Arabidopsis thaliana: one gene and its partners. The protein of the gene in region 3 interacts with the protein of the main gene of each other region in a pairwise test. Each region holds a gene or a part of one and is shown on either strand. Other genes may lie near its edges.

Region 1 (9,397 bases), on a different chromosome or scaffold from region 3:
TGATACTTTTTATATTATTTGGTGGCATAATATTTAGAAAACTTTCCATATTTTTTTATTTTGTTTTTTTTCTTTACAAAAATCTAAAGAAAAATAGAAAATAAGAATAATTTCATAAATGTTAATTAACGAGATGGCTAATCACAATTGGTTGTTTAAAATCCTATGTGGACGGCAGAAGAAGCAAAAGGCCTCGACTTTTCTATAGTATAGATTAATATACATAATCTACGAAAACGATTGTCGTTATCTCTGAAATTTATGATCAGAGACTTTGTGGGTCTTATTGCAATAGTACACATTTAAGTAGTAAATTTTGATAAGACTACCTTCACATCATCAACCTCCAAACTTTTCAATTATAGAATGATGTACAAAGCCTTGAATAGTAGTATTTTCGATTTTGAAAACTAAAACTAAGATAAATAAATAGGAAAATATTTAGGTTTAAAAAAAAAATCTTTTCATCAAGTAAAAGAAAATTTATTCCTATGAAGTCATTTTTTCCTTTTAAAATTATTTATGTAAGATATATATGTACTAGATAAGACCCGCCTAAAAAGGCGGATGTAAGAAATAAATATAATTTTGTATCATTAATATTTGAATTCTAAATAGTAATAAATATTTTTATTAACATTTAATTTTAAAAAATTTCAAACCAAATTTCAGACTTACACATCCCATATTTTTCTATACACTTTAACTATTTATTTCATATTAATAAACTGCATTTTAATTCTACAAACTACATCTTATCGATGATTTTTGAATTCAAAATAGTATCTTGCTCTCTTTTTCATTTTTAATTTATTATTTTAATTTAAAAAAATTTCCAATCTTACACATTCCATTTGCAATACAATTTAACTATCTATTTAATCATTATAAACTGGATTTTGATTCTACGGACTTCATCTTAATGAATAAATGCTAAAAATATTATATCAAAATAGTGTTATATGATTTTGATTTACGGTTTTGGCGGAAAAACGTCGGTTTACGGTTTTGGGGAGAAAACGTCGGTTTACGGTTTTGGGGAGAAAACGTCGGTTTACGGTTTTGGGGAGAAAACGTCGATTTTCAGGTTTTGGCAAGAAAACGTAGGTTTTCCGGTTTTGACGAGAAATCGCTGGTTTACGGTTTTGGCGGGAAAACATAGGTTTACGGTTTTGGCGGGAAAACATGATTTTCAATTTTGGTGGAAAACACTTTTTGTGATTTCGGCAGGAAAACAATTTTTGTGATTTTGGCGGGAAAACAATTTTTGTGATTTTGGCGGGAAAATGTGGTTACGGTTTTGGTGGGAAAACGTCGGTTTACGGTTTCGGCGGGAAAACATGATTTTCAATTTTGGTGGAAAACACTTTTTGTGATTTTAGTATGAAAACAACTTTTGTGATTTTGGGGGAAAAACGTCGGTTTATGATTTTGACGAGAAAACGTGATTTGAATATTTAAACCAAAAAGTGAAGTTAAGTAGAATAATTTAGTTTTAATGTATTAACACATTAACATTTTTAATAAGGTTTACTAATATAAAATGAAAAAGTAAATGGACTTAATTGGGTACCCATTTATTTGTGTGAAACCCCATTTAATAAATGGGTTTAGTTGGGTTAACTCATTTAATCCTATTTAATTTTTTTCTAAATGAGTTTAAATGGGTCAATTTCTCTTACACAAACCCATTAATTAAATGAGGTTTGCATACCCATATTAACATCACTAGTTATATCATATTGTATCAGAGTTAACAAAAAGAAAAAAACATTATATCTTAGTTAATAATAAATGAGTTAACAAATTACTAAAATAAAAATCCACAAACTAACAAAAAATCTTTACCATTAGTATGACGTTAAATCAACTGTGGTCTTTTTGAAGAGTATTTTGGTTTGGTGAAAAAGTAGGAGACTACCTATTATTTTTATAGATATGAGTATTTTGAATCGTTTTTCTTTTAGGATTAATAATTGATTGTAGTTTCCATAATTATGGTATTTTATATAACAAGATTGTATAATTTCTTAAATCCTTTTTAAATTTTGTAGGAAAAAGTAATCAATTTTGATTAAGAATTAGTAGCTTCAATTAGAATTAGTAAATGATTTTTTAATTTCTATTTTTAATTTAATAAGATACATATATTTTTTTAAAACTTATCATATTTACTTCTCTAAAATGTTTTAGTTTCCTTATACTTATTTTAAAATATATAATTTCTTACAATTGTCTTTTTATAGTCTTAAACTTAATAAAAGAAAATTTTGTTTTACACGTGTTAAAATCTGAGATCGATAAAATTTGCACATAGCATAATCAATTACTAACTTTGAAAACCGTACTTTATATAATAAGTTAGTTTCCTTGTAATTATCTTCTTACATTTTGAAAACTGTTTAAATTTATAATTTACAATTATCTTTTTGTTTTTTAAATTTAATAAAACAAATTTTTTTTATTTATATATGTCAAAATCTGAGATCGATGAAGTTGACACGTGTTACAATCATATGAGTTACTAACATTGAAAACCATATTTTATATAATAAAATACATAAATAAATGTTGAAAAAGACTGATAAAAGAATGACAAACCACTAGAGAATATACATTAATAAGAATCATGAAATAAGAGAAACCTATAGTCTAAACAAACAACACTTCAATAGGAAAATTCATTAAAAAGTGGAATACGTTGTTGTTGTTGGGATAGATGATGGATATCCTTCACAATGTCGAACACGGCTTCAGGTTGCGACAACTTTAGAGCATTCTCTGACATTTTCTTTAATTCCTCTTTATTGTTGCTAAACCAATCCGCCACGATTTTCGCAGTTTCTTTGGGACTTCGGGTGAAAACTCCAGCCCCATTGTCCACAACATACGGCACGTTGCCTTTTTCCTTTGGGAGTCACATACAATAGAGTTAGTTTATGTGGCCGATTAATCCCTAAGGTGAAGCAAAAAAATGTATACCTGTCCAGGAATATAGTCATTGAGGATAATTGGGAGGCCGCAAATCAGTGCTTCCGCAATCGTACCCGGACCAGCCTGTTTTATGTCATAAAATCTTAGTGCTATTTATATGAATGGGTAGGATTCAAAGATATGACTTACCTTAGTGATGATACAATCACAAGCTCCCATCCATTTTTCCATTTGTGTTTCAAACCCTCGAACCTATAAACGTCACAAGTATATATTAGTTACTTGGTATATAAGTATATAGTAGAAGTAAAAAAAAAATTATATTTTAGTTTGTACCTTGACCGGAATCTTCCATTCATGAGATGCTAATGTAGAAGCAAGGACTTTGTTCCGGCCGCATATGACAATCAATTGTCCTATTGGATTACTTTCTTTAGAGTTGTATAAAGAATCTCCAAGGGCTAGAGCTGTTTTTTGAACCGGACCCATTCCTTCACCCCCTCCCATTAATAGAACCGCAGGTAAATTTAAGTCTATTTCAAGTTCCTTCCTTAGTTCATTCTAACAAACACACATAATAATAGCTATTGTTGATCTTCTCTTGATTGGGAAAAAAAAGATCTCTAAATGGTATGAATTGGACAGAATTTACCTTGTTGAGAATAGTGCGAGGGAAAGATGGGCGGACAGGTAAGCCAAAGACACGGATTTGAGAGTCATCAAGGCCGTCTACTAATGCTCTCTTTGCAACCTCTTTGGACGGACAATAACATCTGCTGACTCCATGATGGAACCTATTACATCAAAATCGAAGATTTCATTTTGAGCTATTAGGTTAATTTCAATGTTTTAAACCCTGACCCGGACAGTGAACCGGATTTTCTTCTGGATCACCGATTAATGGGGTTAACCGAATTAGACCACAGGTCAATTGAATAAAATTTATTGAATATATTTAATATTAATAGAGATTATATAAAATAAAACAAAAATAATTATCTTATGTTTAACAAAATATGAAATCAAACAGTAACAATCAAAGTTTTCAATTTAACTAAAAGTCTAAAAGACTAAAACCGTAACAAATATAGTAGGAGATCATTAATGACGAAAATAAATTAATAAACATTGCGAATTAAAACAACTAATCTCGGTTTCAGTCACTTTAGGCGGAATTGTGAAGACTTCACCAAAATATAAAAAAATCAAATGAGTTTAAAAAGTGAATTTTTTTTCTAAAAATAGCTGAATAGAGTCTAAAATGCTATATTTTATTCAAAAATCGAATATATTTTTTAAAACTCACACACGGCCAGTTCAACCGGTTCACTGGGTCGCGGGTTAATGGCGATTTTTTGTGGATTTTTCCGGGTTTAAAATTGTTGGCTATAGTACTAAACCTAAACCGAAAAAGTGTTTGGGTTGCTGATTAACCGTTCGAACCGAACGGTTTGGGTCGGACGTGAAAACACTGGTTAATTTTAAATATTATTGCATATAATCTATATTTTATTAAATGAAAAGTCATGAGAGTAAACATGCAGGATTAATATGCTAACGCGTGGATTAAACTGATTTTAAGTACTTAGTATATATAGAAGTAATGTCATCTTACCATGTACGGTGGCAAGTGTTTAGATCAGTGATGACCGTAACGAAAATAACTTTCTTGTGAAGTCCTTGCCATTTCATTACCCACAATGGTATGTGTTGCATCAGAGGATGCACGCTAATAATAATGTCCGGTTTGTACTCCATTAAACCGGCCTCTATTTCTCTGTTCACCAAAAGAAGAAATAATCTCCATTATATTGCTAATTCGTAACACTAAGGGATGATAACGAAAAAAGAAGAAGGTTAACATATAAGTACTTGGCATAATAAGCGGCAAGAGCACTTAGATAGCTTTTGTGGATCCATTTGGGAGAAGTACCATGAAACGCAACAGACCAAAGACCAACATGTTTCACCATGAACTTGTACTGTCTCTCCATGTCGTTCAATGGCCATCCAGTGTATTCTTTCCAAACATCTTTTATGATTATCTATAGTTATAAAAAAAATGACATTAGTTCCTAGAGAGAATATTGTAACATCAAAGAGTCAGAGCTAGAGAAATAAATAATGCAAATTTTTAATCATTATTGACAAACAAAATAAATGGAACGTGGGACAGGTTTTAAGACATAGATTGTTGACGTCAGCTCGTATCTCCGACACCCTGGCAAACTCCAAGATTCATACTAGGCTACAAAACTTCCAAGTAGATATTTGTTTCTTTTCGTTTTCAAATTCAAGACGACTACTGCGACAACTTTAATATTGACGGCTGAGATTTCATTAGAATCAGAAACTCCTCTATGATATATTATAACATAATCTATTGGAAAATTTTGTCATAATATAAATACATATTATTCGAGGTATATATTTACAAGCTTTGAAATTTTCAAAATGAATATTTCAAAATATTGTTGTTGTTTTACACAGAAACTAAAAGATAAAAGTATGATTAAGTTTTGTTGCTTATGCAATATTTTTTCGTTTTTTTGTACGTTATATATATGGTTAAGGAAGCATATTATTGGCTCAACCCTATGCGTTGGATTCAAGGCAAAGAGAATGAAAATGAAGATATAAATAAAAATATTAATATTTTTACCCGATAGTCATCTCCGAATTCGATCTTGAAAGCGTCGCGGATGGCCTCGGCTGAAGCACGGTGGCCACCGCCGGTATCACTCATGAGAATAAGAACAGTTTTGATCCTCTCTGCTCCCATCTGCTCCATCTCCATAACTTCTTCTTTGTCTTCTAACCCTCTCTTCCTTAGACGACTCTCCTTCTCATAATCACTTGATCTCTGACGATGGATATACTCATCTTCTACTGTTGAGATGTTAAAATTGCTATAGACTCGTCGAAACACCTTCTCAGTGATTGAATCCGACCGTGTACGAGGTGACACCACTTTCATCATGACTATTTGGTGTTGAAGAAAGAATAATAAGAAGACCGATGGTTGTGTTTTCTATGTGGCTGGTTGGTGATCTTTATGTAAAAGATTTTAAGTTCTTTTGGGGTTTTAAATTTTTTGTAGCAAAAAAAATGGAAGACCAAGTTGCTTCTTTTAATAATTGTTTTTAAATTACTTGAGGAATGATGCTGGAATTATTCTTTTTTTTTTTTTTCGGTTCCTATAGTTTTGCTTAGGTATTTATATTTCGTGTCTTTATTGTTTTATGTGGGGCTTAATTTAGTGGTAGAGTAACAAGGGAATATGGCAGCTTGGAGCCGTCGGATCCGCCTTTGGTTTCGGAATCTTCGGATATATGATTCGGATCTTTCTTTGCATCTCAAGTATATTTAAAACAACTTGACTTTTTAAAAATTAAAAAAAAAATATGACATGGATGGTCCTTTTTGTGACATAGGTAAACCGGTTTAGAATCAAAAATTATCTGGTTTGATTAGGTTTAAATCGATTCAGTTAAATTTGAGTCCACTTTTCATATTAATTTAATACTTGATTAATTGATTCAAGTTAGTTTCGATTTTTGTTTAGTTGTTGATATGAATGTTTGTAAACAAAAATAGGTTTCAGTTCAAATGTCTACTTTTGCATCAAATGTACTCATATGGAAAAATTGTCTATTTGTCTACGAGAATTATGACATCATTAGATATTGACCCGCGGTACACAGCGAGTTGATTATTTGCGTTAGAAAGTTAATTGTTGTTTCAATTTAATATAATCTATATATAAATAACTGAGCAATAGTTTTATTTTTTCAACTTACTTGGTATATGTATTTACTTTTATTGATATAGTAGTATGTTTTTTTTACTTGGTTATGTTTAGTTAAGATAACATGTTTATTATACTTATTAGTACATAAAATGTGTATTTTATGATGCATTAGTACGTGTTTTATTATATATTTTTCTCTTTATTACAGAACATTATTAAAATTTTAATTTATTTTAAATTTGATTTTTGGTATATTACTGTAACTATCCTAAAGAAAAGAATGTTGTTTTATATGAAATAGTTGTACATTATGTTTTAAATCTGTGGTTCAATTTTCACAATTTAATTTATTTGGTATAATATAATTTGAAAATCTCATTTTATTTTTTTAGAAGTAGTAAAATCAAGAAAACTTAATACTATATGAAAAATTTATGTGCGATAAACATAATTACAAATATAAATTTAAAAAATAAATATAGTGACATTCAAAGAAATTAAGACTAATGTGGGTATAATAAGTCTATTAACTATTGGGTATTCTAAAACAATATGAAGCGGTATCAGGACATATGATAAATTTTGTAAAATCATCGATTCAGTTCGGGCATAAAGTAGATGAAGCTATAAAGGCAGAAATAAAATCGATCTTGGGTATACATAATATCGGAGGCATGGGTTCCTATCTCGGACTACCTGAGAGTTTAGGGGGATCTAAGACAAAGATCTTTTCCGTTGTTAAAGATCGATTACAGTCGAATAAATGGGTGGTCAACTAAATTCCTATCAAAAGGAGGGAAAAAAGTGATGATTAAATCAGTAGCCGCAACATTACCAACTTATGTGATGTATTGCTTTAGGCTCCCGAAAACAATTACTTCCAAACTAACAAGTGCGGTCGCAGGATTTTGGTGGAGCTCGAATGGTGAATCTAGAGGTATACACTGGATGACTTGGAACAAACTGTGTACTAGTAAATTGGGAAGTGACTAAGGTTTTCGGGATGTAGATGATTTAAACTCTGCATTATTAGCGAAACAGTTATGGCGTCTAGTTTCGTTTCCGGACTCTCTCTTTGCCAAGGTTTTTAAACGAAGATATTTTAGGAAATCCAATCCTCTGGAAAATATAAAATCATACTCTCCGTCTTATGGCTGGAGAAGTATTTGTTCAGTTAGATCTCTGGTTTGTAAAGGACTTATTAAAAAAGTCGGTTCAGGGGCTTCCATCTCCGTTTGGGAGGATTTGTGGATCCCGGCTCAAAACCCGAGACCAGCAAAAAGTAATGGTTTGTGGATGTCGGATCTTGTGCTCGACTCGACCCGCAATTTGTGGGCTTCCAGACAAGGATTGGGCCCGGCCTTAGAGCCCAATGAAAGCCCAGTGGTTCAAAAAGTTGATACGGAATTAATTTAGTAACGGCTGGATATCGACTTGAATGATAAGCATTCAAAGGCCCGAGCTGTTGATCCGCAACGTACGAAGTTAATAGGGGCGAGGTCTGCGGCGTGAAACCAGCTAATCATTTAAGTCATTTGATTCGTTGTATTAGTATAAATAAGAGTCAATTGTCATTTGTAAAGGGGACGAAAACACCTTGTACTGAAACTATACTGAAACTATACTGAAATACACAAATCCGTTTATCATTTGATCATTGTTCGACCGACAAGACTTAAGATCCTCACAAAAACAACCACAAAATTCTAATTGCGGATTCTGGCATCCACAATTTGGCGCTAGAAGGAGGGTAAGTTAAGTCTTTAACTTCAGAGCAACGATCAATTCACCATGAGCAACACCGACGGTCAGAGTTCCGGCGACTAAACCTCCACCCTCGACGACATCAAGCAGCTGCTTCAGCAGTTGTCAGAGAAAACCGACCGGCAACAGCTCGCAGTAACGACACTCTCCGATAAGTTCGTGTTTTTCTAAGAACATTGCAATGGCCAGCTCGCAGCTTTAGCAGCAAACCATTCCGAGATCAGATCAGCGCACAATGCATACGCCGAGCGGGTTGATTCTCTTTCTGCAGGAACGGCGCGGACTACTGGAGCTCGAACGCGACTCAACTTTCAGGGTGTCGCAAGCCCAAGCGTCCAGAATTCGCAGGAAGCTTCTGGCCAGCAATCTCCTTCACCTCCAGTTGACGTCGGGGCAACGTCGACACAGAATCCAGTCATACAATCTTCACCAGCAGGCCTTGCCGCAGTCTCAGATGGGACAATAGCTCGGACGCCGGCTCCACTGGATCCCGCCATCAGACTCCCGATTTCTAATCCCCGACAAGAGCCAAACACAGTCAACTCGGAGCTCCAGAACCTTCAAGATCAAATCTGGGCAATGAACGCAAAAGTTCATCAGGCTACCACGTCGGCCCCCGAAGTGGAAAAAGTTATTGAAGCAACAAGGAGAACGCCTTTCACTTCGAGAATCTCGAAGCTTCGTATTCGCGATTTCCGAGACTTCAAACTTCCCGGTTACAACGGCAAGGGAGATCCAAAAGAATATCTAACTTCTTTCCAGGTCATCGCAGGTCGGGTCCCTCTTGAGCCACACGAAGAAGATGCAGGGCTCTGCAAGCTATTCTCGGAAAGTTTGTCAGGTCCCGCTCTCACCTGGTTCACTCAGTTAGAAGAGGGTTCGATCGACAATTTTAAGCAACTCTCCACTGCTTTCATTAAGCAGTACGGGTACTTCATCAAAAGCGAC
Region 2 (7,392 bases), on a different chromosome or scaffold from region 3:
GGTAATTCTCAACCCTTCTCTTACAAATTGGATCTGACGATTGACATTAGTACATTACCTATGGATTCTGCAAATAAAGCTGGACTCTTGAAGTGAATGAAGTTGACTTAACTTGAAATTTGTGGTTTTTGGATTTCAGGGCAGGGATATATATGGATGACACACAAGAAACCAGGCAGTGATGTGTGGGACTTGACCTTGAGGAGCCATGAACTCTGGCACAAGCTTGCAGAGAGCTTGACTGATGATGGTCTTGATCCTGAAGAGTTGCTTGGCTGGAAAAAGACAGGTTTTTACTGACTACCCACTTTACGTTTGTATAGAATTTGGAGCTCTTTGAGCGACTTTGTTGATCATGATCTTGTGTTGATTCTTTCTTCACTTTAGTCTATTGGGTTCTATACACTATTAGTTAGGTTCTTTTGGCAATGTCATTTTCGTCGTGTTCAACAAAAATAATAGTTCAGTGTATTGTTGTCAACGAAAATAGATGATATATACACCATTAGTTACGTTCTGTTTGTCAACGAAAATAGATGATATAGTTCAGTGTATTGTTGTCACTTGTAGGAAGCTTGCTCATTGGTAGGACCACTGAGGAATGTGTTGCTCTGAAGCAAAAGGTTCATGAGCTATCTGAAGCTGGGTTAAGAACTGAATATTTGTCTAGTGCTGAGTTGTTGTTAAAGGAGCCTGCGATACTTGTAAATGATAATACTGGTGCTGCATTTCTTCCTGATGATTCACAGTTGGACGCCCATCGTGCGGTTGCTTATATCGAGAAGGTTGCTTTTTATGTATTTATTTGATAGTTGAATGTCTCATCTGACACTTTTCTTTTGTGGTTTACTTAGTTTTATTTGAGTTACTCAGGGTAATAGAGCGTTTGCAACAGCAGGCAGATATGCCGAGTTCTATAATGAACCAGTTACAGGTTTAATAAGGTTGGTAATCTTTGTAGCTGAATCAGAACTTTTCTGAACCAAAAATTAAAAATGCATTCTCCAATCTAGGCATCGATATAACATACATATCTGTATACTAAAAACCATGGCTGTGTCCTAATTTTGTTACCTTAAATTAAGAGGCTGAAACACAAAAACAAATTCATCCAAATCTATGTAAATCTTCAGTGGACGCTACTAATCTTTCTTCTACTAGAGTTTTATTAATAGTATTTCTATTCAGGTCTGATGGGGATAGCAAGGTGGTTGCTGGCGTTAAGACTTTGAAACGCAACTTGTATGGTAAGAAGGCTACTATAGTAGCTGCTGGTTGCTGGAGTGGATCTCTGATGCATGAATTGCTTAAAGACTGCAACATTCCGCTGGACGTTCCGGTGAAGCCAAGAAAGGTTTGAAGTCTCGTCTGATTGCCCAATTTATATTCCCTCGTTTTAAATCTCTATATTGAAGTGTATCTTTGTCATCACGAGGTGTCAAAATTCTGGCAAGCCAAGTTCTTGAGGATATTATTGTTTAAGAGCAGCAAGTATATCTTTATTTGTCGTGAAGATCCTTTGCAAGCTTCTTGAAATGGACTGCTTTGGTATTTTTTTAAATTGCAGTATCCAACTTTGCCTTGCAGGGGCATCTGCTTGTGGTAGAGAACTTTGATTCATTCCACTTAAATCATGGGATAATGGAGGCTGGTTACTCGAATCATCAAAGTGCTTCAGTTTCAGGATTGGATGTCGATGAACGGATGCTATCTATTTCCATGACAGCCACAATGGACACATCAGGAAACCTTGTTCTTGGTAATTTCATCAATCTATGTCCACTAAAATCCATGTTCTTCTTATTATGTGTGCTTAACATATTTATCAGTCACACACAATATATCTCTTATCTTCATTTAGCCATCTCTAATTTCAGGGAGCAGCCGTGAGTTTGTCGGGTTCGACACTGAAGCTGATGAGTTTATCATCCGTTGCATATGGGAGCGTGCTGCAGAATTCTTTCCTAAGTTACGTGATATTTCCCTCGAAGATTTCATCCGTAACAGGAAAGTGAGAGTCGGGTTGCGCCCTTACAGTAAGCTTCTTGCATCTAATGCTCCAAACCAAAAGTACTTGAAGCCGGCCTTTGGAATGTTCACAAAACCTGAACTTTTCTTTTAACTGATCATAGTGCCTGACGGGAAGCCAGTGATAGGATCCGTGCCCGGATTACAAAACATGTACTTAGCAGCTGGGCATGAAGGAGGTGGACTTTCCATGGTAAGTAACATTCATTCTAATCCTCTAACACCTTTCTCAAGAACCCAATCATGATTCACGGTTTCTTGAAATCGTTTAGGCTCTAGCAACAGCGGAAATGGTAACGGACATGGTACTAGGAAAACCATCACAAGTGGATACTTCAACGTTTGGGGTTAAAGGGCGTCGTTGTTGCTGATGAAATAGAAGCAGTTTGGTTTAGTTAAGAGAGTGAATCCTCTTAAGCATTGTGGTTGCTATAAACGGGGTCTTAAAGGAAATGTCTATGAGCTACATAAATCTAGTGTTGGTTTAGTCCGGTTTTAGTATACTAAGACCAATTCTAATTCTACGTCTTTAAACCAGACTTTTTCTCTAGCTTTCGACATGCATGATCTATTTTTAATACGGTTGATTACAAATATGTTCCATTCAAAATATTCTCAAACAATAATTTAACCATTTATACGCATATTAGCAAAGATATGTCATTCGAATTTGACCAAAAATGCGCACATGGTTATCATATCCTAGAAAACTTTCAAATCAGTGATTATCACATTCCATATTCAAACTATTGCTATTTATTTATTTCAATATATCTATATATATAATATTAATTGTCAACAAACATATAAAACCACAAGTAGTGATGCTAGTTGAAGTTTTTTCTTTTTCTTATTAACGTATAAGTCTTTTGAGTCTATGACCATCTACATCCATCAGTAGTTTTTAAATTTATCTATCAACTTGACATACATATAGGACTGGCTTTGCCTAAATGGTTGGCCCTCCTATGTCAACTTGATATACATATAGTAATCTTTTAAAATATATATATCTAGTTGTTCTGGTCGGACCGTATTATTGTGTGTACAAGTTCGTACATATTAACGTGTGTGATGTCTATATGTTAAAATGTCAACTCTAATTAGCTATATATACGTTCTTAATTCTCCTAGTAATTATATCCATATCTTAAAACTTTCCAACAATCTTAAACACAAACACGCAAAAGATGGAAAAGAGTCTTCTTGTCCTCTGTCTCATTTTGTTTTTTACTTATAGTTACGTCTCGGCTAATTACTATCCACCTAAAGCCTTAGTATCAACCGTCTCTAAGAACACAATCTTGCCTATCTTCACCTTCACACTCAACACAAACCAAGAGTTTTTCATTCACATCGGCGGTCCCTATCTTGTCCGTAAATGCAACGATGGTCTCCCTCGTCCCATCGTCCCTTGTGGCTCCCCCGTATGTGCTCTAACTCGTAGATTCACTCCTCACCAATGCTCTCTTCCCAGCAACAAAATCATCAATGGAGTATGTGCTTGCCAAGCAACCGCTTTTGAGCCATTCCAACGTATATGTAACTCTGACCAATTCACCTATGGAGATTTATCCATCTCTTCTCTAAAACCTATATCTCCTTCGGTCACGATCAACAACGTTTATTACCTATGCATCCCCCAACCGTTCCTTGTAGACTTCCCTCCCGGTGTTTTCGGCCTTGCGGGGCTTGCACCTACGGCTCTCGCCACTTGGAACCAGCTGACTCGACCTAGACTCGGACTCGAGAAGAAGTTTGCGTTGTGTCTTCCTTCTGATGAAAACCCTTTGAAAAAAGGTGCTATTTACTTTGGTGGAGGTCCGTACAAGCTCAGAAACATTGATGCAAGATCTATGCTCTCTTACACTCGATTGATTACAAACCCTAGAAAACTCAACAACTATTTCTTGGGACTCAAGGGTATTTCCGTTAACGGGAATAGGATCTTGTTTGCCCCAAACGCTTTTGCTTTTGACCGCAACGGTGATGGAGGCGTTACTCTAAGCACCATATTCCCTTTCACTATGTTACGAAGCGACATATACAGAGTCTTTATCGAAGCATTCTCACAAGCCACATCGGGTATTCCACGTGTCAGTAGCACGACACCCTTTGAGTTTTGTCTTTCGACGACGACAAATTTCCAAGTGCCTAGGATCGATCTAGAGCTAGCTAATGGTGTGATTTGGAAATTGTCTCCCGCAAACGCGATGAAGAAGGTCAGCGATGACGTGGCTTGCTTGGCTTTTGTCAACGGAGGAGATGCGGCGGCGCAGGCGGTGATGATAGGAATACATCAGATGGAAAATACTTTGGTGGAGTTTGACGTTGGAAGATCTGCTTTTGGATTTAGTTCTTCTTTGGGTTTGGTCAGCGCTTCATGCGGCGACTTTCAAACACGGCCATGAGAATGTCAAAACAACTTGATAGTTGACATTATCTTGTGATTGAATATTTATTTGTCAGTACTCTGGCTTCATTTGTTATGTAACATTCATGTCAAGTGTGGTTTTAAAAAATTTAGTCAATGACGAATGTCAAAGAATGTAATAAAACACTAAAGTTTTATCTTATTATTAATGAACCTTAATATATAAGTTGCGTCGACAAGTCATTTCACTTTATATAATATTAAAGATGTTACATAAGTTTGATAAACCATGTCAATTATTGCTGATGATTTTTTTCTTACTTCCTTTGTTACTATTAGTGATTTATTTGGTTATTTTTCGTCAAACCATGTCATTATATTAAAGGGGTTATATAAGTTTAAACTACTATGACTACTAAACGATATGTAGTTAGTGAAGTGACTTCTTGCAGATTTAGCAAATACCTCAGCTACTTGGTTAGCTCCTTTTTCACAAAACTACAAGTGGGATGAGCTAACTCTAGTACATCTCTAATTACAGTATGTTGGTATGGCAAGATATTTTCGAAAAACCACCAGATAAAATTACCTAATTAAAAATCAAGCATCTTAATATATAAGACTCTCATTCAAAGTGCTACGTATCTAATCTTAAAACTTAAATGGCTTATAAATGGATTTTTTTCAGTGGTGAAAAATCCCAAATTATGTTCAATCCAAGGATCGTTCATTTTTGCACTTTTTAAGTTTCTAATTGAGTACAACGATATATGTCAATGTCAGTGTAATAATACAAAAAAGTTGTAAACTAAAGTCGGAATTATTTGATTTTCTTGTGTTAAACCCATAAATCCGATTCTCCAATCCAAAGCATATGAAGAACAAACACTACATGAGAAGGTTTTGCTTTCTTTAAACTACATTCCGTTATGCGATTCTACCTACAAACTACATGACGTTTTTGTTCACGTAGTACAAACAGCACGCATGTCTAACAAGAAGATACAAAACGGCCAATATCTCTTCCTTGTCTATTTTTGCATGTTGTTGAACTCGAAACTATAAATTGTAACAAACTTCTTATTCTTCCTCTGTGAGTGAAAAATCAAAAATCACAAAAGAAGCAAGAAAACAAAAAATGGCGATTCTCGACCTCGAGACTTTCAAGTCACTCACTTCCCTCACCTTCAACTTCGAGACTCTCTCCGATACTGTCACTTCCACGAAAGATTCGTCGTACTCTGTTTCATCTCCGGTTACTTCTGGTGATCGCGTCGACGGAGGTTGTATTTGCTCGAGGATGGTCTCTCTTTGTGAAGATTCACGTTATTCTGTTAAAGATGGTATCAATCGCGATGGTTATGATACTGATGAAGAAGATGACTTTGACTACTATGATGATCTCGATGATGATCATGAGCTGGTAAAGATTCAGAGGATTAGGAAAACGGGAAAGAGAACATTCTGGAAAAACGTTACGTTGAAGAAGAAGAAGTATTCGTATTCGCAGTTGAAACCTGGGTGTGTTCATGGCAAGCATGGACTCGATATCAAATTCAGGTGCTGATTTGACTTAAAGATCGTTGTAAAAAGTTGTTTCTTGGCTCATTTCAGATTTGCGTTACTTTGGATAGTTTCTGTGTTGAAATTTGGATGTCTTTTGAGGATTTGATTTAGTTGTTCATGGATTGTTTAGTTTCTGGAATCTTGTAAATCGATATTTAGAGAAGAATCAATGAAGAAGAGTTAGTTTGATAAGAGTAGTTACGTACAACCATGAAGAATATTGAAGATTGTACATGATTTCAGTTGTTCTTGTATGGTTTAGTTTCTGCAATCTTTGTAAATCGATATTTACTTTTGTATAGTATGAACGATAATCTTTAGGTGTCATATGAATTTGTGACATCTTTGCAGAAGTTAATCAATGAAGCAGCATTTACGTTTCATTAATTTACACTCCTTAGTCCATGCGAATCTTGAAGATTTTAATCCCTTTCTTCAATATACCGAAAAACATTGACGAATGTTTTAATATATGTAATATTAATTGGTTTCAAGTGGGTTTGTTTATTTAATTAAGTTTTTGGTTAGTGAGGTTTTTTCCCTAGAATATATCATCAATTGGTTTAATACATGAAGCACTCTTTCTTCTAAATTCTCAATGTAGTTCATAATAAAAACCAGTTAAACTGAAAAAAATTAACGACTTCAAATAGACAACAGGGAAAAAAAATAAAAAAACAAGAATGCGATGAATACTATACTGCATGTATACTTTCAAAAAAGGTTGATGCACCTTCCAAACATAAATGGATAATATGCCCAAAAGATTCAGGCCCATTAAAAGCCCAATTAAAATTATAGCGCCGAAGATACCGCCCGAGTCCCGACTAATGCATCTCTTATCTTTCTAAAAAGCGCCAAACCCGTGGCAATATGTCATAGTATCTGATCCGTACTTGACCCGTTCAAATACCAACGGGCTATAGGATCCGGCTTCATACCCGGAATATATGGGCCTAAATGATAGAAAGCCAAACGTCTAATTGAAGGACTTTCATCATCAATAATTCAGTATTATGTTCATCAACTGAAGGACTTCCATCATTAGTATCTTCTTTTTGTTTTTTTATCCATCATCATCAGTATCTTCTGTTCTTCTTCAACAACAATTTCAGTGAGTTATGACACATTTAGTCTTAGATACGTGCCTCTTGATTTTGGTTATAATCTTCAGATTGGGAAATTACGGGATATACGAATTGAGTAATTTTTTTGGATATATAAGTTATTCGTTCGAAAGGTCAAAATCAAATGTTCTTCAAGGCATGTTCTCACATAATCTATTCAAAGATTCATTAGATGTTTCAAGTTTAATCCTAAGCCGTTCATTAAACCTAAATCCGAAAACAATTACCGTCCTTGGTGACTGTATCACATAAATCGTACACCAGATAAGATTTATTCTTCTGCAAAGATATAAACAT
Region 3 (7,154 bases):
ATAGTTTGCAAATAACAACATCAATAAACTAATGAGTGAATTCATCAAAAGTTCTTTTTATAAGTTCTTTTCATTTTTGATATAATTTCTGTAAAGGTTATTATCATCACATATAGTTTGTGTTTTAGGACGGTGGTAAAATAAATGTCTCTTCCTCATTGGATTGGCATCTTATCATGGACCCTACTTGTCTTGAATAAGTTGGATCATATTCATTTCATCAAAAAAATTTCTTTTCATTTCATCGTTTTTCAGATGTATTTATTTATACATGGTATTTATGGTAAGCTTAATGATCACTTATTTATTTTCACAAAATCGAGGTTTTAGTATCATTTTCGAATGACAGTTTGTGCTATTTTAGCCAGTAGATCATCATAATTAACAGCCTAAACATTACCTGTATGTATTTTCATATACATTAACTGAAATTTAAGCTTTACGAAGAATGTGCATATTTATAAATCTGTGAATATTTCAAAAGCTTTACACGCGGCAAGGCCAAGAGGTTGGAAGAATATGCAAAATACAAACATGAAATGACAAGGCGCCTTAAAAATAATAATTAAACAAATATGACTTTAAAAGGCTCTATAGTCTTATGTATATGTTCTGTTAAATTTATCCAAATTAAATGAGCCAAAACTACGTTTAGTAAGTATTAGAAATCATAGCCAAGATGTAAATCTAATTAAAGAGGACGAAATTTGATTTCTTAAGTTTTATTTCTCAAAACCATATTACTAGTTTAATCTTTATCATTAAACAGAACCAGATTTCTCTTAGACAAATGAAAGAAAAAATAGAAGTAAAGAATCATCTTCTCTTACGCATCTTATCAAGAACTGCTACATTTAAGCTAACCTCGACACGTGATAACATTTGTCGGACGCAATTTTCATACACAGCCACAAAGCAATCACCACGTCATCTTCTCATCAACTTGGCTTTCTTAATGGTGCCAAATGGCAATGAGTCAGTGGTTGATCTTGACAACTTTGATTGCTACTTGTCTGAAATGTCTACAGATCTGATTCATTACATTGTATACCAAAACTTTCGTCCATTTCCTTGTTGAAATAAGTCGATGTAAGTCATTCTATTCAAATATTTTTTTTCATGAAGTAATTTTCTGGTTTTAAAGCAAAGTAATAGATTATTTATAATTTTTTTAATTTTAATGGCTTAAGGCTAAAGTGACGTTGGATCGATGAAGCCGCCATAGTTCACAAATGGCCGAATTTAATTTGTTGTTTGTATTTAATAAGTCAAAAGAGATTTCCGAGAAGCAAGGTGAACGTAACCTTAAACTAATCATTAGAACATTAATTATATAAGTTGCGTTTATCATTAATATTGTTGCTTAAAATTACAAACTTTCAAAATCCCATGGTTAAGATAATTAGTGTTTCAGAGCCTAAGACGGAACGGAACTTGTGTAATTTTGTAAGAATAAACATATTAACTTCGTGTCTAAAAAAAAACATACTACACTGACTTCGTTTTCTAATAAGTAATTGTTGTAGAATTTTAATTTATTTCTGTTTATGTAAACTGTTATTTTGTATGTTTAATGCATATATTTTAGACAAGATACTTCTATCCATAATAGTTAGCTTATTAATAGAGGTATAATAATCTTTTTAGATTTCATATTATATTTAGTACTATTGGTTTTAGAAAAATGGAAAAAGGTCAAATAAATAATAGGAACACCACTGGTTTATATTTCTTTTCTGGATTGTGTATACTTTTTAGAAGAAAACTAAAACGGCATGTTGAAAAGGAAACCAAGAGGATAGTAATTAGGTCAGATTACTTGTTTAGTTACAAGAAAGTCAAGAAATCTCATAATTGAGTTTAAAACTTTAAACATTTGCATGGAAGTCAATAAATCTATAATCCTTACTCGTGATCATCTTATTGTTTCCGTGTAACGAAATTAAACGCGTAAAACATCGCGTAAACTATAGTACGGTATGTGATATGCAAATATATCTTAATTTATTTTTTATTTTTTATTTTTCTTGGGCAATGAATTGAAGAGTTGCAAAATTATTTGCCAGCTTACCACATGCGGCCACAATTTTAACCATGATTAATCTTCTTTTGGAATTTAGCGAGATAAATCAAGAGTAGGTTTATTTTAGAACATAGTATATAATACACTAATGAAAAGTCTCGTTAAAACGTGTTTCACGTAACCGACCTCTAAAGTATGGCGTGCGAGTAACGACAAATGAAATCTCAAATGAAAATGGAGATTATTTTAATCTTAATTATAACACACTAATTAACACCCGTCAAACATCCTGATATGTGAACGTGGAATCTCGTTACACAATCGAATAAAATTATTGCTTAATACGATCCGTCTTTCTCTCTCTTTCGTAATGATTATCTATCAATATTATCTTGACTAATAAAAGTATCGCAAGGCCTTGGCAGTCACATGTTAAATGATGATATACGTTGTTGCATGTTAAAACATAGTACAACGATCATCTAGGCTGCTGCTAAATTCTATTTTCAAAAATGCCTTTTATATGCAAGAAAAGCAAAATAATCGAGTTTTTTTTTTTGTTTCATTATAAACTGCTTCATTTTTCTTAGGAACGGCCAAACTGTTAAAAAGTAAAATATGTATGGTGATTAATTGATGTAACCAAAGCCAGTTCGCCCGTTTGATTGTCAACCCACGTTATCATTCACTTGATCACTTCCATGAAACATATAAAAGCTGATAATACTTATATTATAAAGGAAAAAAAGTATGAAAATATTATCAGTAGTTAGATGATTAGTTCACATCTAAATGAAATACGACTTAAACTGAAAGAGACATGAGCCAATTCGTGTCGAGCCACAAATTTTGGACGTATATTTTTAGCCCGTGGTTCCACAATATTTGCAGGTCTTTTTATTCAATGAGTTTATTTTGTCTTGGTTGAATAATGAAATTTCCAAATATAAAAAATAATAGAAATCCGAGGCCCTACACAAGCACACATAGTAACTCCCACATTATATATAAGCGGCCAATATCAGCAACTCAGAGATTCCAGAAAGAAAGAAAAAAAAGAAACAAATAATTCCAAAACCTTCTCTCTTAATCAAAATCAAGAAACTTACAAGATCTGGTGAAAACCATGGAAGAAGGAGATTTTTTCAACTGCTGTTTCAGCGAGATTAGTAGTGGCATGACCATGAATAAGAAGAAGATGAAGAAGAGCAATAACCAAAAGAGGTTTAGCGAGGAACAGATCAAGTCACTTGAGCTTATATTTGAGTCTGAGACGAGGCTTGAGCCGAGGAAGAAGGTTCAGGTAGCTAGAGAGCTAGGGCTGCAACCAAGACAAGTGGCTATATGGTTTCAAAACAAGAGGGCTCGATGGAAAACTAAGCAACTTGAGAAAGAGTATAACACTCTTAGAGCCAATTACAACAATTTGGCTTCACAATTTGAAATCATGAAGAAAGAAAAGCAATCTCTGGTCTCTGAGGTACATAATGATTCTATCGATATCTTTATCTTTAATTGAACAGTGATAGAAACAATAATTGATAATGATCTTTTTTTTTTATAAAGTATAAAATAGCAAATACAGTCTTGGCATTTATTGGTTTTTGGGGGATGTAAATTCTCGATCATTTTGCCTAATTTGATATTAATCAATCTCTATTTGCAGCTGCAGAGACTAAACGAAGAGATGCAAAGGCCTAAAGAAGAAAAGCATCATGAGTGTTGTGGTGATCAAGGACTGGCTCTAAGCAGCAGCACAGAGTCGCATAATGGAAAGAGTGAGCCAGAAGGGAGGTTAGACCAAGGGAGTGTTCTATGTAATGATGGTGATTACAACAACAACATTAAAACAGAGTATTTTGGGTTCGAGGAAGAGACTGATCATGAGCTGATGAACATTGTGGAGAAAGCTGATGATAGTTGCTTGACATCTTCTGAGAATTGGGGAGGTTTCAATTCTGATTCTCTCTTAGACCAATCTAGCAGCAATTACCCTAACTGGTGGGAGTTTTGGTCATAAAAGCATATAAGAAAAAAACAGAACATAAGCGAAGAGAAAGAGTGTGAATAGTTTGTAAATTATGTGTTAAGAAAAATAAATTTAGTTTAGTTTAAATCTTGTTTCGATCTATGTATCTACTATGTTCAATACTCTTTGTAGCTAATTAGTAGCTTATAATGAGACTAGAAAAGTTTTGAAGTCACCAAGGTTAAATTTGTGATTGCAAGTTGGCTCTAAGAGTGTTGGACCAAGCGTAATGATCACAAGTACAAGAGTCTTCGTCCATAATGATCTCGAAACGGACTAAAAATTGACCTAAATTTGAAACTAAGTGCATTTATCTCTATATTGGTGCTCTGCTATAATGCTTTCAATATCCTCGAGATGAATTGTCTATGAATTTTATCACCAAATATCAGTTTTGATCACATTCCGGTTCATCAGCTCAGGTTACTCTGTCACTCCCTTCCTATGAGATATTTGTAGCTGGATTGGCAGATATGGAACAACTTCTTGTAGATGCAGAACTAGTTCCTTTTGGTGTTTGTCTTTCCAGTTTATAAGGAACAATCGAGTCATGATAATCTTCCTATGATTGATGTCATGTGGGACATGTGCTTTGTAACCAGACTCTCAACAGAATGTAAAAGAATGGCTCTAAGTCAAGTCTTTATAGTGTCCTTAATCTTGTAGCAACGGTAGCCCCTGGATCATCCCTTCTTCCTTGAGAAATCAAAGCAAACCAATGTTTCTCTTATGGTTCTGTTCTGTATAATATGGGGGTATTTTGGGAATTGAAGTTTTCAACGTCTCTTTCATATGTTTCCTTTTTTAAAGTCCCGCTCCTGTATAAAGCAAACCCTTCGAAATGGGTCGGACAATATGGGCCTTATCACGATGGGCTTTAAAACTCTTATTCATCAAACTAAACCCAACTTAGAAAGAGTTACCCAACAGGGTTTGCATATCACTTCCATTTTACTTTTTATCTTCGAAACAAATCCAAATCTTGGACCAAGAACAATATCTAGATATTGGATACTTTCAGTGAATAAAATATGAAAAACCACTGTTAAATTTCTATACATACACATTTTGACCTGACAAGATCTTTTACTCTCAAAAGAGATAAAGCTTTACTGAGTGAGAATATATTTGTTTTGTACAAATAGAAATCACACAAATATCGCTGGTGAGGAATTTAACCTACTTTGGTAATCAAAAAAGAAAAATATTACATGCACGCATATATATATAAAATTTGTTTTGTTTAACACGGATGTCGATTGATTGGTTATTTCCCTGCTGTGATAAATTCCAAAGTTCAAGATTCTTTTGTGTTATTCTATTTTTTGCTTTTTCTAGTGACAGAGACTGTCAAAAGTTTCCGATTCAACTCCACGATTCGACATGTTGTTTGCTTTATTTGATTTTTAGACCCTCGAATATATATGACTTGGTAATAAATAGCAAAATATATATTATTGTAATTAAGCATATCAGACTATGTCATCACTGGTGGTCGTGTCTAAAACTAGTGAAATTTGAAGTGTGACATATATAGATTCCAATTGTCTGAATTTTTTGGTGTGACTTATATCAGTGAATTAGTTTAAAACTTGTCTTTGATATAAATTTAACCCTATATGCTTTAGAGTAATATAAAAGTTATTCAGAGCTAGAAACTATTTATGAGATCATTAGTCATACTTCTCATGAACATTAATACATAACTAGCCAGGTAATTATACTCGAATTCAAATATAACTATGTTCTAATAAACCAGCTCAAATTGCACTTTTATTTAAATGATTGGATAAAAATAAGTATGGTCTTAAATCTTAATGGAATACATGCACACTAAATCTATAATAAATAGGGTCTTTTGATCCGCAAACTAAAACCAAATCAACAGATTATTCGATATATCTAAGATTAATATTCCCACACATATTGAGCAAATCAATTGGCATTAATCTATGCAAAAGTTTAGCCAACTTTCTAAAGTACAAGGATGCTGTGTACCTAGCTACGACGGTCCACTGAGGTACCAATACCATACGAAGTAAAATAATATAAAGTTATTTACCCTTTGAATGGCATGGTTTATTGTTTAATAGTTTAATATCTAATCTAATCATATGATTATGTAATCATATCAACAACGGATTAAGGAATCCGTGCAATTTGCTCGTAGATTTAGTCAGCTTTTGTAAAAATGGAACGTTATACATATTTGATAACTATATAGCTCACCCACCAACCCCAATTGAAATACAATATTTGCTTATTCTGCATCGTTTAAGCTATCTCGTGTGTCAATCGATTATGAGTTATGATATCTATGATTAATACTCTTTTTTAAGTCCTAGATATATAGTGGTAGTTTTGTAATCTACCTTAACCTATGTTTGATGATTGAATATGGTGGCATACACACTTGCAAATAGCTTTGTAAACAGAAAAACATTTAACAACATGTTACAATAATTTGCCCCTTCTAATAGGGCAACGAACACACATTTATCATGTAACGTTAAGTTCTAGTAGACTAGTAGTATATATATAGATGTGTCCCCCTAATAAATTGACTTATCATACTCATCAAATGACAAATTTCAGACAAATTAATGGTCCTAATTGCAATAATGTTCTCTCGTTTTTAGATAATGACAAAACATTCGCTTACAATTTAATTTTTTCCATATACATATTTCCATTCTTGTTGATGGTAATTAATTATATGGAATTACCAAAACTGGCTCGTGATTTTATCTAAAAGCATGTTCTCTCAATTTTTTCTAATTATGAATCATTGTTATTAGGTGGGAAGTTGCAATCAGAATTTGTGTTTGTGTTGACACAATTCAGCTCATTCTTAGTCTTCGGTCCTCACCTTATTAACACATATTCTCTTTTATTGACTAGTTTTCATTACTCCGTCTAAAATACTATATCTATTTTGTTTGAATTATTATAAACTTTTACTTGCCAAATAAATTTGGATTATATGATCATTTGTATAATCGAAAATTATCCAACATTTTTCCGGTATCTTTGAATACAAAAAAATAAGTATGTGGTAATAGCTAATGGGTAATGGCTAGATGAGTAAATTTTAATCCGGAA
Region 4 (7,986 bases), on a different chromosome or scaffold from region 3:
ATAGATATTTTTCATAAGTATTTATTTATATTTAAATTAATTTAATTAAATAATAAAATTTTAAAATGATTAGATTATTAATAAAAATTACACAATGCTGTTGTAAACAACATGCATTATTGCATTATGTAGATTTGAACGTCGGTAACTATCCAAAGATAATATTTATAAAATTAGTAAATTGATATGATGTATTTCATGGTAATTAATCTACTGAATCAAAATCGCACCACACAAATGAATTCATGGAAAACTATCCTTTTGACTTGATAATAGGTTAGCGGGTGGTTCTCTTTTTAGAAATTTAGACCATGAATGGCTTTAATTTGTAACTTTAACTGATGTTTGGCTTTTGGTTTACATATTTTCTTGTTTTTTTTTTTGGAGTTTTTGTTAATGATACAATAACTAAGGAAAAGAAGATAAAAAGGGTGGACTATAGGTTTTTTATAGGTGGTGTTGCACGATAAAATATTTTAAATTTTTATAAAATTTACTAAAGAATTTGAACTCAAAATGATGTATATTATAAAATACTATGAAAAAATATAAAAACATAAGATTAAAATTATCTGCTAAAGGTGAAATCAAAGTTTATGACACAGAGACATGACTCTAATAGATTGAGACAACCTTGAAAATATGTTTTTAACCATAACTAATATAAGATACATTTACGAAGAATATGGTAAATGGACGTAACCCTCAAAAGCATTTAACGAGACTATATTAGCAGTAGAACAACATCATAGTGAAAGATGTGATCCTAATTGAAAACATATCGAATGAAGAGTTATAATGATTAAGAAAACGTTTGACAAAAAGTCAAAAAGAAAAGAAAAGAAGAGTTACAATGATTTTACGCAAATTTTCAGTTTTTTTTTTACAATGGTAAATAAAAAATTTATTCAACAACAAATTATGATAAAGAGACACAAGACTAAGAAGCATTTATTGAGATTGAGTTAAATCCATGGACATGTTTAACAAATAATCAAAAGTAATAGTTATATTTAGGAAAAATATATATAAATATAAGTATAAACAGAAAGTATATATAACCAAACTGGACATAGTTATGACAGATGAGGAACGGCATCGAAGACATCTTAGCGCCTCGAATGTGTCTCAGGTTTATATAGGTGGAGTTGAATCTGTGCTTCACGTGTTTAGAGACTGTCCAGCTCAATTGGGGATTTGGGTCAGATTTGTGCCGCGAAGGAGGCAGCAGGGGTTCTTTTCGAAATCTCTGTTTGAATGGCTCTATGATAACTTGTGTGATAGGAGTAGCTGTGAGGATATACCGTGGTCCACCATTTTTGCGGTGATAATATGGTGGGGGTGGAAGTGGAGATGCAGTAATATATTTGGGGAGAACACGAAATGCAGGGACCGTGTGAAATTTGTTAAAGAGTGGGTTGTGGAAGTGTATAGAGCACATTTGGGTAACGCTTTGGTTGGAAGTACGCAACCTAGAGTTGAACGGCTGATTGGTTGGGTGCTTCCATGTGTGGGTTGGGTGAAAGTAAACACAGATGGGGCGTCTCGTGGAAATCCGGGGCTGGCTTCTGCAGGCGGAGTACTACGGGATTGTGAAGGAGCTTGGTGTGGTGGCTTTTCTCTAAATATAGGCCGATGCTCAGCTCAACATGCAGAGCTATGGGGAGTGTATTACGGATTGTATTTCGCATGGGAGAAGAAGGTGCCTCGAGTGGAGTTGGAGGTGGATTCAGAGGCGATAGTGGGTTTCCTCAAAACAGGGATTAGTGACTCTCATCCGCTGTCATTCCTGGTGCGGTTGTGCCACAACTTTCTACAGAAAGACTGGTTGGTCCGAATTGTTTACGTGTATAGAGAAGCTAATTGTCTTGCGGACGGATTAGCAAACTATACAATTTTGTTATCTTTAGGCTTTCATTCTTTTGATTTTGTTCCCGATGCGATGTCATCTTTGTTGAAGGAGGATACTCTTGGGTCTACTCAACTAAGGCGAGTTCGTTTGTAACTTTTCTTTAGTTTCTTAATAAATCACGGGAGGCAATTGTCTCCCGGTCACTTACCAAAAAAAGACTGGACATAATTTTATAAAAAAAATATCGAACAAAAAATTAATAATAAATATATACAATTTTTAAAATATTATAAAATAAAAATTTATTTAAGAAGAGTTAAGATAAAGATACGCATTCTTAAAATACTTAATTGTAATTTGTACACAACCATCTATAACGAAGAGTTGTGATAGGAAAATTAGAGCAAAAGTAAAACTTAAGGAGAAAAACAAAACCTTAACTGAAAATGTATAGATAAAAATTTATAAAAAAGAAATACAATTTTCTAAAATTTAAATTATTTCATATAATTAAAAGTCTTAAATAAATATTTTGCAAAGAGTTACAACAATCAATAAGCACTACGATAGAAGACATATTTACAATTTATTAATTTGTATATTCACATAATTACTCACCCTTCTCTTACAAGGTAGAGTAAATTATTTTTATTCAAACTCATCATTGGTGTAACCTTTCTTGAAAAGATGTATATCTATCTTAAACTAAAATTGAAGGAGTTTTCCTGTTTCTTAAGATTACTGAGTATTTAAGTATTTTTTATTATTTGGATAAGTTAAAATGGTTAAATGGGTAATTTATAATTCATAGAATCTTACATGGTAGAGTATATTGATCCAAACTGATCATTTGTATAACCTTTCTTGAAAATCATAGATCTATCTTAAAACTAAACTGTAAGCTTTTTTTTTACTTTTCAATTCCCTAAGATTATGTCTCCACTTTAATATTTTACCATTTCTCTTAAACAGAAAAATTGAATATACCTATTTATAAGTATTCAAAATTTATTTTTAGGTAGAATTTAGCGCAAAAGTTTATTAAACTTTACGTTTACAATCTCATTATTTAATATTCACGTGAATGAATATTTTGACATGGTAAATATAATATAACACTATAAATAATATATTTACATATGATGAAAAGAAGAATAATTTGATAAATTAGAAATTCACATAATACATGAAATAATCACATATTAATTCCACCCTAACTAGCTAAATGATAAAAATAAAATCATATAAATCAGTTCATAAAACAAAAAATGTCTCGGGAAAAAAAAAACACTCTTCCAAAAGAGACATGTAATAGTCAATTTATTTCTATTTTCATAATCATCGTTAATCCTCATTGCATGTGGTACAATTATTCTAATAAGAAAAGTGAATCGTCCCAATAAATAATCCTAAAATGCCGTCTTAAAAAAGGCAATCTATAAAATTATTTATAAATATCTAAGAATGAGTTGTCTACTTTCCATTGATTAAAAAGAGAAAATATCATAAACAAAAAAAAAAAGTCAGAGAAGTTAAACCAAAAGCAACAAAAAAGAAAAAAAGAAAGAATAATCAAGAGAGAGGAGAAGAGGACGGTGGAAGATATTTTGCAGTTGAAGAAAATATCTTTGATATTTTTTGTGTTTGAAATATCTAAAACCAAAAAGTTTCATCTCTTCATTCCGCCAAATTGACTGGTGATGACGTGGCAACTTTACCCACGTGTAAAAGCGTCTACAACTGTATCGTTTCTTTTGATATTTTGTTTCTCTCTTTCTCTCTGATATTTTTCATTTTCTTCTTCTTCTCTCTCTCTCTCCACAAAGATAAGCCAACAATGGTTGGTGATTACAGAGGACGCTTTAGTAGCCGTCGTTTCTCCGATGACTCTGACGATTCTTCCGACGATGCTTCTTCCGTGGAGGGAGAGACCACTTCTTCCATGGTATTTATACATATTCCATGTTTTCTTTCTTTTTCATTGATATTTTTGCATGTCTGTTTTTCCTCGCCGGAATCGGAATCTCCGTCGTGTTCGCTGCTCAGATCTGAATTTTTACGGCGATTTAACGTTTTTGATGGAATTAGTGCGTTTATTGTTGATTATTGTGAAGTAAACGAAAGAGTTTATTTACACTAATGAACATAAATTGTTCGATATTTGTCTTGTTGATGAATTTGGTTGCTTCTTTGCGATTGAAGAGATAATTAGATGTTTATAGATTTGATATCTACATAAGGATTCTGAGCTGTGTAATGACAACTTTGTAACAAAATCATTTTTGTGAACTTTGGTGTAGTACTCTGCGGGGAAAGAGTATATGGAAACAGAATGGACTAATGAGAAGCATAGTTTATATCTTAAATCTATGGAAGCTTCATTCGTAGATCAGTTATATAACTCGCTCGGAGCTCTCGGGAAGAACGAGAATGTATCCGAATCAACGAGGTTCGGTAGCGGTAGAAAACCGTCTCAAGAACAGGTATGACACTTTTTTTTTAATAGATGATGATGATGTTATAGTGTTAAGAAGATTTTGGGATCATTGAAATGTATGTTTATGGTATCAGTTCAAGGTTCTTCATGATGGTTTCTGGCAGAAGATTAATGTGAAACAACCTGAACATCGGATTAACGGAAGGCACGGTGGTAATTCTCATGAGTTTCTTAGGAGTCCATGGATTAAGCATTATAAACCTTTAGTAAAGACACAAATCCCGGTAACGGATGAGCCCGAAAATCAAGTTGTTAGCAGCTCTAATGGGAAGAAGGGAATATGCAGCTCTGGCTCAGCCTCTAGTCTCAAGCAGCTAAGCTCTCATTCGCGTGACCACGACCAAATCAGCGTTGGAGAAGGTATTAGTTTATCAAAAATGTGTTTCTTTCCTCTGTTTAGATATGTTGTTTCTATTCTAAATTTGTCTTGTGATGTTTTAAAGCAGAGGTATCGGATCAGAACTTTGTTAACGAAGGAATAAAAGGCGAAAACGGAAGCTCGAAGAAGATGAAGACGGTGATGATGAGTGAATCGTCGAGTACCGATCAGGTAACTTCTTCCTCCACTATTAGTTTGATCATATTAGTGAATGTGGTGAGTTATTGATCCAAAATGTTTCCTTGGCATAGGTTGTTCCACTCAATAAACTCTTGCAACATGACGTAAATTTGAAGTCTGTTTCTTGAGAGGTCAGATGGTGAAGCTTTATATGAGGAGAGAATTTTGTAATGTATATATATTTGCATAACTTATAAGTCAAATTTACTATCCTTAGTTACAAGTTTCTTCATCATATATCCCTAACTATAAATATATTTATATGCTCATGTGAGTGGATTCATTTGTACTGTAAAACCCTTAGAAAGACGTCAAATTAGTATTTGATGGTTTAGTGTTGTCTTGTTACCACTATAGTATAAAATTTCAAGTTCCTTAATTTTCTTTTATGTTGCCCATACAATAAAAATGGTGGTCGAATAAAGGTAAAAGATAATAAAAAATAATTGAGCCGGTTATTATACAAACGGTGTTGTTTGGATAAAGCTAATTGGCTAAGGGTTGTGTATGTGTTGGAATCAAACCTTGATTAATTTCGAAGAAGAATCTAGGAATGAGAAAAGAAAGTGAAGAGGATCAAAAAAAAAAAAAAAAAAAAAAAGAGAAGAAGAGAAGAAGAAGGTGTCTCAGAAGAGTCGATCGCGAGAGTGAGGGAGAAGAGTGCTTTGGGCCATTAAGTTGAATCAGCCCACTATGTTAGTGGGTTGACTTTGATGATAAAGTTATATTTTTTTCTTATTATTATACAAAGTTGGGTTTGTTATATTTAACACCAAAAATAGAAAACATTTTTTAACCATATCGGAAAAATAAAATATATAGGTTGTTTATATATTCAAATTTTTATTTTAATATAGTAAACTATTAAAGTAATTTTACCAAAAAAGTTAATATATTCAAAACATAAGTAAAAATTTGGTTTCGAATGTATAAAATTGAAATTTGATTTTTTAAAATATATAGATTATTATTTAGAATCTAAGTATCAGAAAAAGAAAATTTATTTATTTTTCACACCTCCTATTTATCGGACATTAACTAGTCAATTTAATAATCGTTCATAGATTTTGTGTTACGACATATTTAAAAGATTTATGAAAACAATTTTAAGTTCTGAACATTGCAAGGCTAAATTAAGTATGGACTCAATGTTTCAAATTGTTATTCATCAGATTTAAAGAATGAGTAAATTTTGAATACAAATATGACTCTTTTATTAATGTATCATCATGTTTTTTTTTTTTTTTGAGTATAACATGTAAAGTAAGCTAAAAGTTTAAAAAATAAATTAAAAAGAAAAAAACAAATATTTTTAAAATATATTAAAGCTCTATTTTGGTGTCGGAGGAGTTGCACCAGCAATTCTTGAACATTGTTCCTTTAGCATTGGAGGAAAAAGCGGAATGAATGGAATTTTGGGCATACAATTGGCTTCAGCATCCAAAAATGCTTTGCAACAAGCCGGACCTAAATTACCGAATTTTCCAATGAAAATAGATTGAGAAATTTCTGTAATGCATCTGGGAATATCCATCACGGATGACAAACATTTTGTTATGTCAAGTAATCCTGGCATACCAGGAATCGGTTGGAACGGAAATGGAAAAGGAAACGGACCAGGAATCTGTGGCAATTGAGCATTTACAGAAACAATGATGCATAAAACCGCAAGAAGTGAAAGCACATTTTTGATAGACATAACGAGAAATTGAATAAAAAACCTTAGTATAACCAAATATATGCTTAATGCATGTTCTGTTTGTTTTTATTGATAAACAACAATTAAATCTTTGCTTATTTATAAGAAATGAAATGTGAAATTGTGATCTGAATTATCTTAGTTTAACGTCTCAGAAATGTTTTAATTAGGTCTTTAATTAGTCGTTTTATAAATTCAAATAGAGCTGAAACTCCATAAAACTACAACATTTAGGAAATAAAAGTATAATCGGTTTCACATAATAAATCAATGAACGCAAACACCTTTTCCACTAAAAATACAACATTACAAGGCAAAAGGCCCATACGGCCAAAAGCCCAAAAGCATGAAATCAAACACAAACCTGCGAGAACGAACAAACAGAACAACAATCCTCCTGAAACTAATCTTTTCTTCTTCGTTTTTTTTTACTAGTCCTTTTAAGTACTGTCCCAAAGCTTTCTAATTGATGTCAAAGCAAATCACACCAAATAACTAGATAAGTAACATTTGCTTTTTAAATACAATACATACATAGTTATTCAATCTTCATTGAAAAAGTTGGTTTTATAATTAGGGGAACTAACAAATATTAGGACAAAATCGCAATTTGCAGAAGATGAAAAAAAAAATTACTGTTGTTTGGTTTCTGGTCAACATAATTAGTCTGCTAAATCTCCCCAAAATAGAAACAGATAGAAAAACAGTAATCATGAGGTAAGAATAAGCAAATAGGGAAGCGTGCCAGTCTCTAACAAAAATCTCAATCTTTCCATACTTATCGATCACGTCACCTCCTTTGTCTCTATTACCTAACTCCATCCTTAAAAATCCAATCTTTCACCTTTCTTCTCCGAGATTTCACTACACTGCGCAATAAAAAAATGGCGAATACCCAACTCAAATCCGATGCAATCATGGACATGATGAAGGAACATCTTTCCACCGACGCCGGGAAAGAGGTCACAGAGAAGATCGGTCTTGTTTATCAGATCAACATTGCTCCAAAGGTTGGTCCTTTCTTTATAGAATCATTTCTTTTATTACTCTGTTTTGTTTTATGTTTGATTGTGATAGATTTGGAATTTCAGAAATTAGGGTTTGAAGAGGTTACTTACATCGTTGATCTGAAGAAAGGCGAAGTCACCAAAGGTTAGCTTTTTTTGTTTTGATTATGGTAAAATCTGAAAGTTTTGATTTTGGGATTATTGCAATTGGGAATCTGGAAATTTGATTGGAGACAAAAGTGAAGAGTAATTGGGAATTTAGAAAAGAGAGAATCCTGAAATTTGATTTTGCATCAAAGGTTAGGTTTTTCTTGTTGGTTATGGCAATTGGGAATTGAAATGAAGAGAATCTGAAATTTTGCTTTTAGTTAT

Evidence for each region.
Region 1: the proteins of HB-12 (region 3) and MGDC interact in a two-hybrid assay, tested with the Arabidopsis thaliana proteins (one large-scale study listed by BioGRID).
Region 2: the proteins of HB-12 (region 3) and AT5G48430 interact in a two-hybrid assay, tested with the Arabidopsis thaliana proteins (one large-scale study listed by BioGRID).
Region 4: the proteins of HB-12 (region 3) and COR27 interact in a two-hybrid assay, tested with the Arabidopsis thaliana proteins (one large-scale study listed by BioGRID).

The regions. Positions count from the first base shown.
Region 1 is NC_003071.7:4,739,905-4,749,301, reverse strand, and holds MGDC (monogalactosyldiacylglycerol synthase type C), read right to left. Parts: upstream 6,141-9,397; 5' UTR 5,915-6,140; coding exon 5,597-5,914; intron 5,036-5,596; exon of another isoform or gene 4,980-5,035; coding exon 4,807-4,979; intron 4,712-4,806; coding exon 4,550-4,711; intron 3,729-4,549; coding exon 3,587-3,728; intron 3,496-3,586; coding exon 3,271-3,495; intron 3,187-3,270; coding exon 3,124-3,186; coding exon of another isoform or gene 3,088-3,123; exon of another isoform or gene 3,084-3,087; coding exon of another isoform or gene 3,078-3,083; exon of another isoform or gene 3,058-3,077; coding exon 2,983-3,057; intron 2,909-2,982; coding exon 2,669-2,908; 3' UTR 2,492-2,668; downstream 1-2,491. UniProt on the Arabidopsis thaliana protein: Involved in the synthesis of monogalactosyldiacylglycerol, the major structural component of photosynthetic membranes and in the chloroplast envelope biogenesis.
Region 2 is NC_003076.8:19,624,939-19,632,330, reverse strand, and holds AT5G48430 (Eukaryotic aspartyl protease family protein), read left to right. Parts: upstream 1-3,163; 5' UTR 3,164-3,218; coding exon 3,219-4,439; 3' UTR 4,440-4,697; downstream 4,698-7,392. Other genes in the region: AT5G48440 (FAD-dependent oxidoreductase family protein), read left to right, coding at 1-1, 140-289, 571-785, 874-944, 1,189-1,354, 1,588-1,759, 1,878-2,036, 2,133-2,221 and 1 more; AT5G48420 (uncharacterized protein), read left to right, coding at 5,541-5,969.
Region 3 is NC_003074.8:22,911,235-22,918,388, reverse strand, and holds HB-12 (homeobox 12), read left to right. Parts: upstream 1-2,995; 5' UTR 2,996-3,149; coding exon 3,150-3,503; intron 3,504-3,689; coding exon 3,690-4,043; 3' UTR 4,044-4,235; downstream 4,236-7,154. UniProt on the Arabidopsis thaliana protein: Probable transcription activator that may act as growth regulators in response to water deficit.
Region 4 is NC_003076.8:17,195,416-17,203,401, reverse strand, and holds COR27 (cold regulated protein 27), read left to right. Parts: upstream 1-3,608; 5' UTR 3,609-3,689; coding exon 3,690-3,797; intron 3,798-4,152; coding exon 4,153-4,335; intron 4,336-4,423; coding exon 4,424-4,709; intron 4,710-4,792; coding exon 4,793-4,899; intron 4,900-4,979; coding exon 4,980-5,036; 3' UTR 5,037-5,237; exon of another isoform or gene 5,238-5,483; intron 5,484-5,730; 3' UTR 5,731-5,761; downstream 5,762-7,986. Other genes in the region: AT5G42905 (Polynucleotidyl transferase, ribonuclease H-like superfamily protein), read left to right, coding at 1,079-1,827, 1,961-1,988; AT5G42895 (ECA1 gametogenesis related family protein), read right to left, coding at 6,239-6,607; SCP2 (sterol carrier protein 2), read left to right, coding at 7,492-7,617, 7,699-7,759. UniProt on the Arabidopsis thaliana protein: Together with COR28, involved in central circadian clock regulation and in flowering promotion, by binding to the chromatin of clock-associated evening genes TOC1, PRR5, ELF4 and cold-responsive genes in order to repress their transcription.